3 linked regions of the Drosophila melanogaster genome follow. The gene in region 2 interacts genetically with the main gene of each other region. Each region holds a gene or a part of one and is shown on either strand. Other genes may lie near its edges. The genes, in order: l(1)sc, Hrb27C and otu.

What was found.
Region 1: of Hrb27C (region 2) and l(1)sc, changing one enhances a phenotype caused by changing the other (phenotypic enhancement), as found in Drosophila melanogaster (one study listed by BioGRID).
Region 3: of Hrb27C (region 2) and otu, changing one suppresses a phenotype caused by changing the other (phenotypic suppression), as found in Drosophila melanogaster (one study listed by BioGRID).

Annotation. Positions count from the first base shown.
Region 1 is NC_004354.4:406,888-411,645, forward strand, and holds l(1)sc (lethal of scute), read left to right. Parts: upstream 1-2,833; 5' UTR 2,834-2,908; coding exon 2,909-3,682; 3' UTR 3,683-3,930; downstream 3,931-4,758. UniProt on the Drosophila melanogaster protein: AS-C proteins are involved in the determination of the neuronal precursors in the peripheral nervous system and the central nervous system.
Region 2 is NT_033779.5:6,918,383-6,924,449, forward strand, and holds the start of Hrb27C (heterogeneous nuclear ribonucleoprotein at 27C), read left to right. Parts: upstream 1-2,321; 5' UTR 2,322-2,479; intron 2,480-2,583; exon of another isoform or gene 2,584-2,691; intron 2,692-2,877; exon of another isoform or gene 2,878-3,058; intron 3,059-3,256; exon of another isoform or gene 3,257-3,416; intron 3,417-4,348; exon of another isoform or gene 4,349-4,352; 5' UTR 4,353-4,444; intron 4,445-5,401; 5' UTR 5,402-5,523; coding exon 5,524-6,018; intron 6,019-6,067. Other genes in the region: x16 splicing factor, read right to left, coding at 1,142-1,560; nop5, read right to left, coding at 1-229. UniProt on the Drosophila melanogaster protein: This protein is a component of ribonucleosomes. Could be needed to organize a concentration gradient of a dorsalizing morphogen (Dm) originating in the germinal vesicle.
Region 3 is NC_004354.4:8,483,621-8,491,862, reverse strand, and holds otu (ovarian tumor), read left to right. Parts: upstream 1-2,327; 5' UTR 2,328-2,489; exon of another isoform or gene 2,490-2,515; intron 2,516-2,740; exon of another isoform or gene 2,741-2,919; intron 2,920-3,010; 5' UTR 3,011-3,031; coding exon 3,032-3,259; intron 3,260-3,321; coding exon 3,322-3,419; intron 3,420-3,488; coding exon 3,489-3,643; intron 3,644-3,700; coding exon 3,701-4,096; intron 4,097-4,149; coding exon 4,150-4,286; intron 4,287-4,480; coding exon 4,481-4,606; intron 4,607-4,869; coding exon 4,870-6,114; intron 6,115-6,182; coding exon 6,183-6,359; 3' UTR 6,360-6,855; downstream 6,856-8,242. UniProt on the Drosophila melanogaster protein: Catalytic component of a deubiquitinase complex consisting of bam and otu. The complex deubiquitinates K63-linked polyubiquitinated proteins; this antagonizes the ubiquitination activity of Traf6 and regulates the IMD immune signaling pathway.

The sequences.
Region 1 (4,758 bases), on a different chromosome or scaffold from region 2:
TATTGCACGTAGCGTGCGTGTAAATTACCGTTATTAGGTGTGATCGTGCGAAACAGTGGATCAAGTAAATAGCATCTTTGGAAATCATCCATTGATCCAATCCAAATTAGCTGCGTCAGCGCTTTCATTTTAAAATAAGACCCGGCAATATCACAAGTAAAAGTGACAATTTCCGCTTCTTGATCCCGTCCAGGAGATATAACCAAAAAAACACCCATAAAAAGCCAAATTGATGTGATGACAGATGATACGGATCTGTGCTCGAATTTGGCAGATTTCACGCTTATGATATCGCCAGTAACCCACCGGCGATCCAGTCTATCACGTTTTACACTTGCCTCTGGCGTACGTGAGAGGAATCCGAATAACTTACTCCTATTTCGATTTCTCCGGTTCGGAGGTCACGGATTTTTAGTTCGGTAGCTGTTGTTTTGAATTCTAATTAGTGGTAATGTGCGGAGAGCACATGAAATATATAATTATTTTCTTTGTCAACAGTCAACGAGATTTGTACACTCCCCTTCAAGACATAAAGGACATTTTCACATTAGTAAGAATACAGCAAATAAATAATTTAACAATATTCATTTGCTGTATGTGACATATACTGAACATGTAAAAGCATAGACTAGACCTCATATAAAAACAATTAACATTATTTTTATCATGTATGTTTTTGTCAACTTCATTTTGTCGGCTACTTTTCTAATTAGAATCCCCTTGAGAAACCTTTGGACAATAGAGGTCGCTGTACAGCAACTTATTGGAAGATTGAAACTATATAGAGACCGCCACTTTATGGTACACTAGCTGATTGGAAACCTGGGAAACCATGAACCTGACAACCCTGGCCAGTTGTTCACTATTTTATATTTACTGCGTCCCCCAAAAACGAAACTGGGATCAACACTATTCTGATCTCATGCGGATTAATTAATCACTGAACATTATAGGGCATGGTGTCCGAGGCTTATGAAATTGAAACCAAAACCTTTTTTACTTTCCTATTTTTTGGTGGGTGTGTTTGGAGCATATTAAAAGAGTATTTGAAAAGGGTTTGCTTCGAACCAAGAGAAATACAAAGGTGATGACGCAAAGATTTTTATTCTAGATATTATAAATGCATTAGAAAACGAATTCGGTAGCAACTTTTAAAAACCAATTATTAGGTAAATGGTGTTTTTTTTTTTTTTTTTTTTTTGCTTTATTATGATTTTCAGCGTTCATTCTTGTGGGATCAATTTCCTCTAATTTTCTGATCTCCTTTAGGGCAGCTGCTTATGGCTTTTTTTAAGATTTTATGCATTTATGGGAGCAATCTCGTAACTCGACTTATCCGTCTTCGGTAACGGTATTGCCTTCCCATTGCAACAAAGTTGCAAGTTGCGAATCCAGAAATTTGTTTCAGATTCAGCTCCTTACAGATTTATGAATGCTTAATTTAATTGCAGGGGGATTGTTGGTAAACGGAATAACTTTACTTTCTTGGACTGGGCATAATAAGTCACAACCCTACAGCAAGCAGCAAATAAATAAAGACATAACATTTTTTAAAGCTTTTTGAAATACTAATTTGCTAGTCAAATAACATTTAAAGACCTTTTTTAATGCTTTTCGACATACTAATTTGATAATTTAGAACTAAACCTGATTATGAGTGATGTCTTGATATTAAAGCAACACAAATGCTTCATGCTTTAAAATCAAAACTGCCATTCGATTTTTAGAAGTATTCCACGAAATAATTATCTTTAAAAGAAAATATTTATTCAATAATGCAACACTATCAAAATATTTTCCCAAAAAAATATTTTAAATTGCATCGTAGCCTTAATACGATTTAATGAGTTATGCAAATTAATTGAATTCAGTTTTTGTTTGTTCATACAAGACATATATTAACCAGTCAGAAATATTACATTTTTTGTCGAGTGCACAGCCCAAATTTAGATCGCTTTCTTGTATCACAAGCGTTTGATGAAAGGGTAAGAGTGTTTCGACTGCAACTTTGATCCCAACTGCTGTCAATATTCAATGCCTTTGTGATGGTTTCGTTTTTATTTGTCTGGCCGTCCCCTTACTTATTATAGTACGCTTGGTATTCATGATACAGCACACACTTGTGGGATTTTGTCTGCGCCGCTCTGCGATGTTATGTATCATTGTTTTGAAGCTTATGCTAATGCACCGGACTGATCGGAAGCACGTGTCAAATGCAGATGGGTCAGAAAAAATATTAATGAAGGTTCATAACATTACAGGATATAAAAGTGGATACGCAGTTTTAAAGACAGTGAAAGTCCCACGACATGGTCTTTTAAGTTTGTTTCTTTTGCCTTCGCATCATTTTCTTTCATTTGATGGATCACATTTTATATCAAATTCCCTTCCAAGATCTCACTCTCCTTTATTTTTCGCTTTCAATGCAAACGACATTCGACAAAAGTGGAAGTGCATTCAAAATCTTTTTTTTTAGCCATGACAAGGATCTTGCAGATCTGAGATTTAAAATTTTCCCAAAAGGAAAAAATGCATTATGTAGACGGACACAAAGGACAAAGAGTGTGTGGGAGAGGGAAAAGGATGGGTAGGTAGGCACACAGAGACTGAGTAGGAATAGAGGCACCCACCACAGAAAAAGAACCCCTAGAAAGAGAGGAAAAATGTACGATCACTTGTGCAAAGGACTTAGGTCCCGGTTTTTCGAGGGCAGGTAGCCAGGATCCGACCCCGTACCAACCCCTGTAGCTCCTCTGCCGAAGTCGCTGCCTCTGTCGCGGCGCGTTTCCCTCTGCCACTGCCGGGTATTTAAAGCCCTAGATCAGAACAGCAATTATCATTGCGGAATCTGATTCCACACAGTCAACATCTGTAAACTAAATCTTAGAAAACTCTCGCAAGGATTACCATGACGAGCATTTGCAGCAGCAAATTCCAGCAGCAGCATTACCAGCTGACCAACAGTAACATTTTCTTGCTGCAACATCAGCATCACCATCAAACGCAGCAGCACCAGTTGATTGCTCCGAAAATACCTTTGGGTACCAGCCAACTGCAGAATATGCAGCAGAGTCAACAGTCCAATGTTGGACCCATGTTGTCCTCCCAGAAGAAGAAGTTCAACTACAATAACATGCCCTATGGCGAGCAATTGCCATCGGTAGCCAGACGAAATGCCCGTGAACGCAATCGCGTGAAGCAGGTGAACAATGGATTCGTCAATCTCCGCCAGCATTTGCCTCAAACTGTGGTAAACTCGCTGTCCAATGGAGGACGTGGTAGCAGCAAGAAGTTATCCAAGGTGGACACACTGCGAATCGCCGTTGAATATATTCGAGGACTACAGGACATGCTTGATGATGGCACTGCTTCATCAACTCGTCACATCTACAATTCCGCCGATGAAAGTAGCAACGATGGCAGCAGCTATAACGATTACAACGATAGTTTGGACAGTTCGCAACAGTTCTTGACGGGAGCCACCCAGTCTGCCCAATCCCACTCGTACCACTCCGCCTCGCCCACGCCGTCGTACTCCGGATCCGAGATTTCCGGAGGTGGCTATATCAAACAGGAACTACAAGAGCAGGACCTCAAATTCGACTCCTTTGATAGCTTCAGTGACGAGCAGCCAGATGACGAGGAGCTACTCGATTATATTTCATCTTGGCAAGAGCAGTGAAGGGGTCTTACTAAAAGTCCCAAACAAACAAATATTGTACAAACTGTAAATACCCTAAATTGTTGCCTTAGTGAGTGTAAAACCAAGTCTCAAATTTCACATTAGCCTCTAAGTTACCCCATATTTTTTTTTATTATATTTTAACGCAATGGAAGACATATTTTTTTCATAGTTATAAGTTTGTTATAAGCATGGAAGACACTAAACTAACTACTTTTAAGCCAAAATAAAAACATATTGATAAATTTAATTCCAAATGTTTTTTACTGAAATCACTTACTCGTAAATATATTCAGATCGTCATGTAGGGTAATTACAACGAGTTCTCGTTCTCATACCAGCATCAGAGCCAAAAAGGTTTTTAAACAATCTGCATTTTGAAGCATTGCTTTGACTATATATATGTTATGATATTCGTTTTTAATTTATGTATTTTTATATTATTATTATTATTTTTTAGCTTAGCTGTTTTGGCCTCAGGCTTAATAATGGTACTAGCGATAGAAATAATAATTTCACAAAAAAGTTACCCAATTTATTATTTATATTCAATTACTTTTGGAGCGTGGACATGACTCACTCAAAATTCGTAACCAACATAGAGTTAAGCACCTGACAGGAAACAACAGCGAATATTTTCATGATTGGTTCCCTAACGAGCTACAATTCGGCCGGGAATTGTTAATGGCGCGTAAATAGCCCGGAAATAGGCAGTCACGCCTGAGAGGATGAAATTGTCCTAGTCCAAGGATCAGTACTTGAAGACTCGCACAATCCACGTGGCTGGCGCACACCGCCACAAAGTTTTTCATCAAGCTGGACGACGTCGGCGAGCCGTGAAATGCACTTCCGCTAACCCCGTAGCTAAAAATTGGAAAGTAAACCCACCCCAAGGGTGAAATATTAGGGCCATTAAATGAATATGCAGGAATGTCATCTAGGCAGGAGATGCCACACCCATTATTTAGCATACAATATGCAAATTGCCAATTGCGCTGGACACGTGCGTAGGGAAACGGCATTCAACTTGGACTGAGTTTACCAAAGGAGGATGTGATAAGAACAGAACTCTAAAT
Region 2 (6,067 bases):
TGAGTGTCTTTTTCAGCGGCTTGGCTACCTTGCCCTCCACCGCCGCCGTTGCAGCGGCCAGCGCCTCTGTGGTGTCATTGAATTTCTCAAAGTGCTTCAGCTTCAGCAGCTTGTTGGCCTTCTCCGGAGTCTCAAACTCCTGGTACAGATTGTCCACCTGCTCCAGTTTCTTTTCGTCCAGCAGCTTGAAAATCGCGTAGCCCGCCGGCGTTTCGTAGAGCACAAACATCGCGTTACGCTCTGCTCATTTAGTTTCAATTTTAATTCAATTTAAAACCACCGAAACTCTCGGCAGCCAGCAGCAACTTAACCTTCTTTTCCGTATGCCGCGTGTAAAAGAAAAATCCAAAATGAAGTGCAAGCACGTGTGCCTTCGGTCTACGGCGTTGCCACTTGGTTCGCGCATAACAGCACCACTGTAATTAATTCACCACGAACGTAAAAGCGCGGGGAAAATAGCGTAGGAGGGTGTCTTGCAGCCGCCTGCTACCCTTTTGTTTACCACTTATTTTAATTTGTCTATTTCTAATCAAATCAATCAAACTTTAATATCAATATTAAATATATTAGAGGACTTCGCTAAATCATTGTCACGTAACTATTTGTAAGCTTTTGTGCAATTTACGGACAAATTCTTGTGCTCAAGAGTATAAAATATATATATTTTATATATTTATTAATCACGAAAGTGTTTACATTTTTACAATATATTAGACTTATAATAGTCTATATAATAGACTTAAAAACAAAATTCTGTTATTACTATCTGAATAGATAACTACTGTTGTCAAGCATGATTTTGTTAGACAATTGTAGAAGCTATATACTTCTCATATCGATATTAATGGGTATGCCACCCGAGCACGTGTGCGTGCTGTTATGGTACAGAACTACTTCATGCGCTGGGATTAACAGCACTCATTGCGCATAACAGCACGCTGTTAGTTTTAACAGGCGACAGAGGTGCCCAAACAAACTCAACATTTTTGCATGCGCATACACACAAGCATGCATGTATGTATGTATGCGTTTGTTTGTATGTATGCCTTTCTCTCGCCATGTTACAAAAAGCAAGAAGTTTTTGGCAACGACAATGAATGAAAAATTGAAATGGCGAATTGCAAATGCGAATTGCGCTTACCTGCGTCGCTGCCTGGCCTTCCTTTCGCGACAGTGGCGAGCGAAATGCCCCCGTCCGCCGCACTCGTAGCACTTATCGTCCCCACGACCACCGCCGCCTCGGTCGCGTCCTCCGAGTCCTCCACCACCACCGCCTCCACCACCTCCGCCACCACCACCGCCGGACCTAGCATACTTTCCGGTGGACAATTCCACACGGGCTCGGCGCCCGCAAACCGTCCGTCCGTCCAATCCGCGCACCGCATCCGCCGCATCGCGGGCACTCTCAAACTCCACGAAGGCGAAGCCCGGCGGATTGCGGGCTATCCAGACGCTGCGCAAACTGCCGTACGCTCCAAATACATACTCCAGGTCGTTCTTCCGGGCATTGTTGCCCAGATCGCCCACGTACACCTTTCTATCGCTCGGATGGCGCGACATTTCTGTTTATTTCGCTTTTCCCCGGGCCCAAATTAATGTGGCAGCAGCGCAGAAAAAAATCGATGATGGGTTGGAATCACTTGCCACCGCCTTCCTGGGCACTTTGGTCGGTCAATCGCGCACTGGCGAACACTTTTAGTCACTTAACACGGTCGGCAGATGCGAATTTTTGTGTTTATTTTCTATTTAATGCAGCGCAAAACTCATTTTACCGGGTAGCAAACAGAGTGACCGTGGACAGACCATTAAAAGAAACTGCGGACTCGCTAAAAATATACCAAAAGTTATGCTCAATCCGCGGGTAACGGTCAGCAAAAGGCGGGAGTGTCTGGCAACAATAACTTCCAGGGCCGAAAAATGAAAATCTAAATATTTCCTTTTCAACTCCTACGAAAAAAATACTCAAAATTATTTTTTCCTTTCAAAACATTCCATCCGCCTAAAGAAAGCGACTATAAAACCTTTTTTAGTATAGTACATACAAATCATATACACACATCTTATTACATTTTTCACCTTTAAGATATTATTGTACTGCACAATTACATTTTAATGTAAATAATTTATAATACATTTTTTTAACCAGTCCCCTTTAACTTCCTTTATATTTAGCCTTCGTGTTAAAAGATAGATATAAATTCGTAATTTAAATTTGTTTTCTAGTATCTGTTAGATTCAGAATATATGTGGAGTATGTTTTAGTATATTCCGTGCAACTTGAGGTATTTTTTTTGGCTGGCGGCGGTCACACAGCATTAAACGTGGCGGCGATTTATCATATAAGTTAGGTTATAATATCGTATGCATCAAAATCATACAATTATTTATAAGCTAGTTTTTTAAGGAAAAAACACTTAAATTTAGTGAATTTGCAGTGCGAAATCTTTAAAAAACCACAGACGAACACTTGGCACAAACGGTAAGAACGAAAAGCGACCGAAAATCGCATTTACATAACAATTACAGTGCTTTAACAAAATGCCTGCCTAGCCTTTCCTTTCCAAAAAAAACGCCTGAATACTTGACGCAGCTGCCATTGCTCGGTGTGCGCGTGTGTTTGTGTGTGGGGTAAAATTGGCTCGATTCGTTCGAATCGTTTCTTCGCCTTTTCGGATTTCTCGACAAACAGAGGTTTGTGCAATTTTCAGCGATTTTTCGTGCCACTTTCGGCACTCTATTTCCACCCATCAAAGTGGAAAATTTCATATTTTTATACATACATACGAAAAAATGCTATGTATAACACCACACCAACGATCACGCACACCATTGCACAGCGCTCGGCGGCCATTCGCGCACACACACGCTCTCACGCGCACACACGTACGGCCAACTCATGCACTCACACACGCCAGCAGATTGCGGTGCAAAATACAAAAATCGTGCGAAATTCGTAAAATTGCGTATTAGAAATCTTGGTTAATTTCGCTCCTATTTCTCCGGCCCGAAAGCCCAAGTGTCAAAAGTGTACCCGGCGTGAAAGTGCATTCGTGAATTAGTGAGTGCCCCATCGATTAAACCGCCTGGCTGGCCAAACAAAACGAAAAGCGTAAAAATACAGTGAAATGCGTTTGTTCCCTTTTCTAAGAACTGAGACCCAAGACATTTCTTGAGACTTCTTTGTTGTATCATTTTTCATAAGGCACGTCTTCCATTTTGTTTTTTTTTCTTCGTTGCCTTTGCCGTGGTGAATTTCCCACACACTGCCAGTGCGATTCATTCAGTTCAGTCGTGAGTACTCAGCCAGCAACAACAATAAAACATTAATCGTTTAAAGCTGGAGGAAAACTCGAAAAAGAATTGTTTGTTTTTTCTTTCGATGGAATTAACATTTATTTTGAGGGCATTGGTTTTTGGTACGTTTGCTTTTCGCTTTCCATTCGCGTTCACGTCACACATGGCGTTGCCACATGTTTTTTCACTTGTTAATGGGCAAAATGTCTGCGAAGTGCTGCCAGTAAAGAAAACGGGATTTTCTTGATAACAAAGTGAATTTAAACCCGTTGTTCATTGGCGTTTGCACAAAAATTTAAATATACTCCTGTAGATGTTTACTTGGCCCACATCTGGCTGTAATCTGTAATACCCTGGCAAATGGCGCGCAAATGTGGTGAACCGGCGACAGCTCTCTTTTCACCTTGGAAATACATAAGTTCGTTGTTCTCATTGATAGGCGGCATGTGTGCTGGTGTGTGAGTGAGGCTGGGGATTTGTTACAACAACAACAACAACAACCATTCCGCTCGTGACACAGCGAAAAGAAAACAATACTTTCACGTAGCCGTTCAAAAACGAGTGAAAGGGGATGAGAGTAGTGTTGGGGTGTCGAAGGAGGAGCAAACTTGTGAACGTGTACAAAAAGCAGTTAGACGACAAACACACATACACGTGTACGGCGGAATCTCTTCAGCTGCGTGTGTTTGTGTGTATGTGTACCGGCCGGTTGCTTCTGCCGCTTTTTTCTCTTTTTTTTTTTTGTTCCTACCTGTGCCTTTCATAATAACTATGCGTGAATTTTTTGTCATCTGACCATTTCTACCCATTCGCACCAAAGATCTTTACACAGCAAGAAATATTGTCTCCGAAGGAAATGTAAATTTAAAAAAATTTCAACCATAGCCCTGGCCTTTAATTTTAATAACGTCAGTTTGCAAATAACCAAATTAACTATTCCACCTTGTTTTTTCCTGTGTAGCAATTCGATTAACCGGATTTCTTATATTCTATGTGTATCTTTCCATGTGCCTGCAACAAAAACAAACCGACGACATCGATATTGTTACGATAGAAAGTTACGTGTGAACGTCGTGGCTTTTGTTTAATTGTTTTGAAGGAAAAAAGAACTTTGGCAACGTTGAAACCAACCTAAGATATTGCCCAAAAAGTAAGATATTGCCCAAAAGTAATTGCGGATTTTTCATATAGTCGGCGTTGACAAATTTTTTCAACGGCTTGTAACTCTGTAATTGCATTCTTTCTTTGGTCAGTTATCAGCTGTTACTTTTAGCTTCCATTAGAAAAAAAAGTGCGCGAAATTTTGTTTTTATTTGTTTGTTTGGCGTCAATTTTAATATGGAGCCCACAAAGGAGCATTTTCGTCATATCTTACTTTATTATTTCCGTAAAGGAAAAAACGCGGAGAAGGTTGCTAGAAAGTTACGAGAGATACGATGGTATGGTGATGAAGCCTTAAAAGGAAGACAGTGTCAAAATTGGTTTCGCAAATTCCGTTCTGGAGATTTTTCACTTAGAGATGAGCCACGTTCAGGCCAAATGAAGTTGATGATGACCAAATCAAAGCATTATTATTTATCGAATTAGATCGTCATGTAACTTGAGCGTGAGATAGGAGAGAAGTTAAATATACCAAAAATCAACCGTTCATTATAAAAAGTCTTGGACTGGTGAAAAAGCTTGATATTTGGGTACCACATGTATTGAAAGAAATTCATTTAACACACCGAATCAACGCTTGTGATAAGCACCTTAAACGCAATGAATTCGATCCGTTTCACTTCAATGGCTGATATCCACCAAAAGAAGGTTATGCTGTCTGTTTGGTGGTATTGGAAGGGTGTCGTATATTTTTAGCTGCTTCCAAGGAACCAAACGATTAATTCGGATGTTCGCCAGAAAGATGGCAAAAGATTATCGAACAATATATTTGATTAAAGTTCATTCGAAGTTTTATTAAAAATGCATTTACTTTCATTTACAAAATCCGCAATTACTTTTTGGACAACCCATACATAAAATACATACAAACATAAATACATAAAAAAAAACACAAAAAAAAAATACCAGCAGCAGTGTAAAAATTGTATATTCTCCCCCAAAACAGGCAACCAACCGAACACAAGTTAATTTCTTTGCACCCCGTGTTAATAAAAAAGCGGCAAGATTACGTCAATTATTGAGAACCTACCCGGCGCCATAGCTCACAACCACAACCAAAACAACATCATGGAGGAAGACGAGAGGGGCAAACTTTTTGTGGGCGGTCTATCCTGGGAGACGACGCAGGAGAACCTGTCGCGCTACTTCTGCCGCTTCGGGGACATCATTGACTGTGTGGTGATGAAGAACAACGAGAGCGGCAGGTCGCGCGGCTTTGGCTTCGTTACCTTCGCCGATCCCACCAACGTCAACCACGTGCTGCAGAACGGACCGCACACGCTCGACGGTCGCACCATCGACCCCAAGCCGTGCAATCCGCGCACTCTGCAGAAACCGAAGAAGGGCGGCGGCTACAAGGTCTTCCTGGGTGGCCTGCCCTCGAACGTCACCGAGACCGATCTGCGGACCTTCTTTAACCGCTACGGCAAGGTCACCGAGGTGGTTATCATGTACGACCAGGAGAAGAAGAAGTCCCGCGGCTTCGGCTTTCTCTCCTTCGAGGAGGAGTCCTCCGTTGAGCACGTGACCAACGAGCGGTACATCAATCTGAATGGCAAGCAGGTATGTGATCGCTGGAAAGTTGTGCTATACTTACAAAACATAATTACCT
Region 3 (8,242 bases), on a different chromosome or scaffold from region 2:
AGCAAGAATTTAAGTAAAGCAAAACTATAAAGACAAGGATAATAATTTTGTTGTTAAGGCAGCATTACACTGTAGGGTTCGAGCACCCTGATATTTTTAATGAAATCACTTGAAAGATTTTTCGATACTGAATTTGTCAAGCTATTTATAAAAGAACAACAACGAACTGTGTATTACTGCCCTATTAATATATTTGCGCTTTGCAAACCAGGCACTTCGCAGACAGATGGGTGTTCCTAATAGTTGCGTCCACGACTGTGTGCGGTTCGCTAGAGTGAAGCTAATAAAATAACCGGTTCGTGGCAGCCAAACAAAAAAAAAGAAGATATTTCTCATGCACAATTCACTTTTTTATTTGGCAAATGTTGCTTCGGATTCTCTTGGCAAGCGAAATTCTCTTTGTTTTGTTTGGACTGTATGCTTTACCTCTTACTTCCCCTTTTTATTTCAGCAAAGACGCGACGAGCTAAAATGTTCGAAGGCAACTAAAAGCAGCAAACGGAAATTCTTAGCCGCCGACCGGCAAACAATCGCATCAGAAAAAAAAAACAACAAAAGCAGAGAAGACAACTTTCGAGATGTTCCCAAATTCAGAAACTCACTGTGCTATTTCAAAGATGGTTGGTATTGTTTGTATTTCTACACCATCAAACATTTCATTTCGCATATTTGTGAAATTACGTTAATATAATATTATCACACAGCACAAGATTTTGAAACCACTTATAAAAACAACATTTAGATGTTATAAAATACCATGCAATATCAGATATAAAGCTTTAAAGACCTTTATATTTTGGAAAACAAAGTGATGGTTTTTCGAAAACAGGAACGTCGATTTTTATCACATGAAGAGTTTAAGTCGTTAATTCGTGTTTGAGGGACACATGTCAAGAACCGCGAGCAAGCGAGATGGAGCTAATGGAGCACTTATCTGGGAGCCCGACGAGTCCGGTTCAAGAGACCTATATTTTTGTATTTTCTTTATTTTGTTTTTGGTGATAAGATAGTTGCGGGAACAGGATAGTTGTATAATCGGTATATTGATAAGACGACCGACAATATATTGGCCGAATCATTTAATCAATTAATTGCTGACAAAAACGAACCAAAGTTCGAAGGTCAGCAGACGGCATTGCAGAAATGTCCGTGACATTGACCTCGGCACCTGGAAAATGAAATACCACCCAAAAAAAAAGAACATCATATCTATGTCACCATTTGACCCAGTTAATCGAAAATCGTGGAATTAACGAAAAGGAATCAAAGAAATATTATTTCGTTGGGCCGTGTGTGGGAAAGAGAGGTGGCGCAAACAAGGCGAGAGAGAGACGGGGCGAACACGCGTTCAACAAACTTGATTAACGGTTTATCGATTTGCCATCGCACTCGCACAAGCACGTGCTTTGTTTGTCGCTCCTATTGATTTTTACGGCATTGCTTGGATATGAAATAACCGCACATTTCTACTTCTTCCTTTTGTGCACTCCTTCCAATTTCATAACGTTGTTTATTTGCATGTGTGTATCGCATGTACAAATGTCCATTGTTGTGTGTGGTTGAGTCCACGTGTGTTGTTTTTGTTAATGACTGTGATTTTCATATGTAAAACTCTTTGTTATTATTATTCGATGGAAGGAGGAGGAAAACGAAACAGATGAACATGGCGTAAAGTTGATGAAACACCGAGAGGAAATAGAATTCATAGTCGTTGCGTTTTGCACACTCGCAAGATAACCAACTAACGACATTTACTAACAATAAACAAAAACATAACTTTACACGAGAACACAAAAAACACAAAAAAAAAACAGGAAAACAAAAGGCACACACAGTCACACACTCACATCTCTTCCAGACAACTTTTGTCGCGGTAACAGCGCGAACTGAAAGTTTGCTCCTGGCTTCATTGACTCGCAATTTCGAACTGAGTCTGATGAACAAGAACAACAGTGCGCCGTGTGGAAAGCGGCATTTTCCACCCCCTAAAAAGCGGGCCAGCAACAACAGCAACGACAGTAACAAGAACAATTTGAAGGTAACAGAAACTTTTGGGGATGACACGGAACAGATGATGCCGCTATCGGTGTCATCGATAGACGGCGATAACAGGAGTTTTTTAACCGCTCAGCAATATATTTCAAGTATATCATACACTTGTGTATTTCATTTAGAAAGTATTCAACAAGATCAGATATATTTATTTTGTTGATAAAATCACGAACCAACTCCATTGATTCATTTCCGCACATCACTATTGCCCAATTTCGTTTGTCGGCATCCTTCCAGGCACTGGAAGTTCGTTCTTATACTTTTCGTTCGCATTCTAGTTCGCGGGTTCTCTGAAAGGCTAGATCGCGCCATTCGCTTCAATTCTTCGTGTAACGGTGCTAGGTGCGGATGCCAGTGTTATTTTTAATTGTTAATTTAATTGTTAACTATTTATAAAAATAGAATTTGTACAACAGAAGACGAACAGCAGAACACCGGTAATATCTCGATTCGATTTTAACTGTATTAGTTGAAACATTTATAGTAACGGTAATTTGTCAAGTGACGAAATTAACTAATTAAGCGCAGCATGAGAGGCTTTTAAATCATTAAATTTTAAACAAATATTTAATTTTCATCAGCTTCATCACATTTAATTTTGCTCTTTTGCTTCATTTGCCTTTCTACTGCGCCATCTTGAATTCGCAGGTGCATATTGTCATCTCGCTCTGAAGCCCGGCTTGTATGGAGTCGGTTAATAATTGGAATATATTTGTATTGCAGCAAATTTGCTTTAAAACTATTAAAGTTAAAAAAACTATACAATAGTTAACATAAAATAAGTAATAAAGCTTAGTATGCGCACTTCTTAGTGAAACGACAATAGATAGCAGTTGAAAAGTGATTGTGAAGGTCAAATAGATCGAGGTCAGGGCCCTCTTCTAACTGTTAATTGTGCAATACTTGTATTTCAAAGGGAAAACATGACAAAAAAAAAATGAAATGAATAAAATTTAAGTTTCTCGATTCCAGAGTCGCCATGGACATGCAAGTGCAGCGCCCCATTACGTCAGGCAGCCGGCAGGCCCCGGATCCGTATGATCAGTATCTGGAGAGCCGTGGACTCTACCGTAAGCACACGGCCCGGGACGCCTCCAGTTTGTTCCGTGTGATCGCCGAGCAGATGTACGACACCCAGATGCTGCACTACGAGATTCGGCTAGAGTGCGTCCGCTTCATGACCCTAAAACGACGCATCTTTGAGAAGGTAGGCCTCTAACAATCACACATTTTGTAAAAAAAAAAGAAATAATTTTATTTATATCCCAGGAAATTCCTGGCGATTTCGATAGCTACATGCAGGACATGTCCAAGCCCAAGACATATGGAACCATGACAGAACTACGCGCTATGTCCTGCCTATATCGGTAATTAATCCTTAGTTACTATTTTCTATTAAATTCTACAAATATATATGATTTCTGTACGACTTCCAGCCGCAATGTTATCCTGTATGAGCCCTACAACATGGGCACCAGCGTCGTTTTTAATCGTCGCTATGCGGAAAACTTCCGTGTCTTCTTCAACAATGAGAATCACTTTGATTCGGTTTATGACGTTGAATATATAGAAAGAGCCGCCATTTGTCAATGTACGTAGCCTATTAATATATCCAATTTTGCTTTTTGTATATGTACGTTGCTTTCAGCAATCGCCTTTAAGTTGCTGTACCAGAAGCTTTTCAAATTGCCTGACGTATCCTTTGCTGTGGAGATTATGTTGCATCCACACACCTTCAATTGGGATCGCTTCAATGTGGAGTTCGATGACAAGGGCTATATGGTTCGCATTCATTGCACCGATGGACGAGTTTTTAAGCTTGATCTGCCAGGGGACACAAACTGCATACTGGAAAACTATAAGCTGTGCAATTTCCATAGCACCAATGGAAATCAGAGCATTAATGCTCGAAAGGGAGGCCGGCTGGAGATTAAAAACCAGGAGGAGCGAAAGGCATCCGGCAGCAGTGGCCACGAACCAAACGATCTGTTGCCCATGTGTCCAAACCGATTGGAGTCCTGTGTCCGCCAGCTGCTAGATGATGGTCAGTAGAGGTGGTTTCAAACATCAAATGCTTACATAATACTCTCTTTTTAGGTATCTCTCCGTTTCCCTACAAAGTGGCCAAGTCCATGGACCCCTATATGTATCGTAATATAGAATTTGATTGCTGGAACGATATGCGCAAGGAGGCCAAGCTTTATAATGTCTACATAAATGACTATAACTTTAAGGTAAACTGTGCAGAACATTGGATTATCGTTAGCACACATACACACGCACACCAACACACGTTTCATGTCAACCACCCATCCAAATTAACACCCTTTCATTTTCATCTATACACTGGATACACCTTATACTTTACTATACATGTATGTCTTGCCTTATCCTTCCTCGTCTCGTCGCCGTGTTATTTGTTTTCCAGGTGGGCGCCAAGTGCAAGGTGGAATTGCCGAACGAAACGGAGATGTACACGTGCCACGTTCAAAATATCTCCAAAGATAAGAATTACTGCCACGTCTTTGTTGAGAGGATTGGCAAAGAGATAGTGGTACCTCTTCTTTTTATCTGATTTTCTAGACCCTTGCAGAGAAATGCAAAAATTTCGATTAGAAACGATTATCATATTTAACAATTAGTTAAATTTGTTAAAGTTTAGTTAAAAGTATATTAATTGTGGCCCAATGAACTGGTATATAAGTCTATAAAATAATTGATCTGCAAGGGCTAAAAATGTTCGGTATCCGAAGCTAATTGTAACTATTTCGCTTTAATAGAGAGCTTACTAATATACAAACATATCTGTTGGCTTAGGTCCCGTATGAATCGCTCCATCCCCTGCCGCCAGATGAGTACCGCCCATGGTCGTTGCCATTCCGCTATCATCGCCAGATGCCTCGCTTGCCGTTGCCCAAGTATGCCGGTAAGGCCAACAAGTCTTCCAAATGGAAGAAGAACAAGCTGTTCGAAATGGACCAGTATTTTGAGCACAGCAAGTGTGATTTGATGCCCTACATGCCCGTGGACAATTGCTATCAGGGTGTGCACATTCAGGACGATGAGCAGCGGGATCATAATGATCCTGAACAAAATGACCAGAACCCGACTACGGAGCAGCGGGATCGTGAAGAACCGCAGGCACAGAAGCAACACCAGCGCACGAAGGCATCAAGGGTTCAGCCGCAGAACTCGAGTTCCAGCCAAAACCAGGAGGTTTCGGGTTCGGCTGCCCCGCCACCCACTCAGTATATGAATTACGTGCCAATGATACCGAGTCGTCCTGGGCATTTACCGCCACCTTGGCCTGCATCTCCGATGGCTATTGCCGAGGAGTTTCCGTTCCCCATTTCAGGAACCCCGCATCCACCGCCAACCGAAGGTTGTGTATACATGCCATTCGGTGGTTATGGTCCACCACCACCGGGAGCTGTTGCTTTATCGGGACCGCATCCATTTATGCCGCTTCCTTCTCCACCGCTAAATGTTACCGGAATTGGCGAGCCACGTCGTTCTCTACACCCAAACGGTGAAGATTTGCCCGTGGATATGGTGACTTTGAGATACTTCTACAACATGGGCGTGGATTTGCATTGGCGCATGTCGCACCACACGCCGCCTGATGAACTAGGAATGTTTGGATACCATCAGCAGAACAACACTGATCAACAGGCAGGACGGACTGTAGTCATTGGCGCCACAGAGGACAATTTGACTGCCGTGGAGTCAACACCACCACCTTCGCCAGAGGTGGCAAATGCCACAGAGCAGTCACCGCTTGAGAAAAGTGCCTACGCCAAGCGCAATTTGAATTCGGTTAAGGTGCGCGGCAAACGTCCGGAGCAGCTGCAAGATATTAAGGATTCGCTGGGGCCAGCGGCATTTTTGCCCACTCCAACGCCATCGCCAAGCTCGAATGGCAGTCAGTTTAGTTTCTATACTACTCCATCGCCGCATCATCACCTGATAACACCGCCGAGGTTGCTCCAACCGCCGCCACCGCCACCGATATTCTACCACAAGGCGGGACCACCACAGCTAGGGGGAGCAGCTCAAGGACAGGTAGGAGTGATACATGCACTAACAAATTCAAAATATTCTATAGGCAATCGACACTCGACCATTTTTAGACTCCCTACGCCTGGGGCATGCCAGCTCCGGTGGTGTCCCCCTATGAGGTGATCAACAACTATAACATGGACCCGTCGGCTCAGCCACAACAACAGCAGCCAGCCACCTTGCAACCAGCTCCCTTATCTGTCCAATCTCAGCCGGCAGCTGTCTATGCTGCAACGCGTCATCACTAAACAAAGAAAGAAAAAAAAAAGGGAGCGGGGGCAAAAAACAGATCACTTGAAAGAGAGAGGCCATACAGATCGAAGGCATTACATTCCATTGCAATTAACGGCTTTTAAAATTTAATCTCACTTTTAAATTTGTAGTTAACTTTTTATAGGCCATAAGCGTTGGCGCTCTATCATAAACCATTCAGCTTCTGTACAACAATCGATTGCATAACCTAACGCAAATGTCAACCCAACTTCATTTTAAAAATGTAATTTAACGTAATTTTATGCGAATTTTTTTAAAGTTAGCCGTCACGAAATCAAAGAACCACCTATTTATATGATTTATTTAAAACCCTTCTAACCAAAAATATCTACATACTATCTACTATATATATACATATATATATATATATATATTTATGTGCTCGCTGTTCGGCTAGAGACTCACCTATGTAAAGTGTACCATCAAAAATTAACCATAAATAAAACAAGATTCAACTGCAGCGCAAGAGACAAAATGTACAAAAGACTTTTGCAGGTGCTGCAATTACGTGGTATTCTCGTGTTTCGGCGCGATTTCAGATAGCAAACAAAAGGTGTGGATTGGCTTGGATTACTTTGATTCACCTCGTCACATCACATCGACGCTGATCTTCGAAACGATAAAGAACTCTGATGTAATCCTTTAGTTTCATTGTAAAAGTTTGTTATTATTGTATGTACTGTCTTTATTTGTGTCATAATTTGTTTGTCTATGTTAGTTTTAGAAAACGCTGTTATTTTTGATAAGCAGATAGTTTTTTAATGCATGGGTTTATATTGTAGCATATTACATCAAATTAGTGCATACTAACTAAGAAAAAAAAAACAACAAAAAGTATTTACAACTAAGAAAATTAGATATTAGAAAATTTATAAGGTTCATTAGTTCAATCAATCACGATTACTTTAGTATGTAGTACATTGAAAATGTTTTGAGCTGTCAACATTATCCTGCTAAAACTAACCCATGTTAAAACCATCCAGAATGCTGAAGATAAGTTGAGTTAAGGAGTGCAACGCCTCCATACTGGTTTCCGTTGTCCGTTTAGATAAGGGCTAGTTGGAATAAATTATGAAAATAAGTATCTTAAACAAAAATTACAAAATATGCTAAAGTACTAAAGAACTTGGAAGCTAATAATACGATGGTATCACAGAAATCTTTGTACATAAGTTTAATATTTCAATTCACCAACGTACCTGTATGGTTTGTTTAATTTGAATCGGCCAATAAGCAATATATGTCTCTGTAACAATTTCGGTTATAAGGACTTTCTGTGATACCCTGGACAAAATTTGTTATAGGTATTATTTGTTGTTATTCTATGGTTAACATATCAGTCATTGTTAAAACAATACTAACTTGTCCAGAACAGTAGGCGATTATTGCGAAACACAAACCCATTACAAGGAAGCATAAGTGACTCATTTCGCCTCTGTTGTTGGTTATTTGGTTTTGTTTTTTTTTTTTTTATCACCGAAAAGTGTTCGCAAAAAAAAATATTTGAACTTGAAACCGATTTGTTTTGGCTCGCTTTAATAATTCTGTTTAGTTGGTTATTTTATTAATGCTCTCAATTTATTTCTGCTTACAGACTGAAATCTCTGTGCAAAGGTATCGCATTTTTATGCTGAATTTTCAAACTGCCAAATGGGCGGCACTGGGCGACCTAAATTGCGATTCCACCTGTCATCAGCCGAGCTCTTCTTTGCCTTACCTATCATTATAGCCGATTTTGCCGCCCGTTTGTTATTGAACAATTGCGTGGGATGCCATTGGCATAACGCACAACAATGGGGAAGGACAACCAAACGATGTGTGTAATGACAGCCTGCGTTTCGGATTTATTGTATTTATT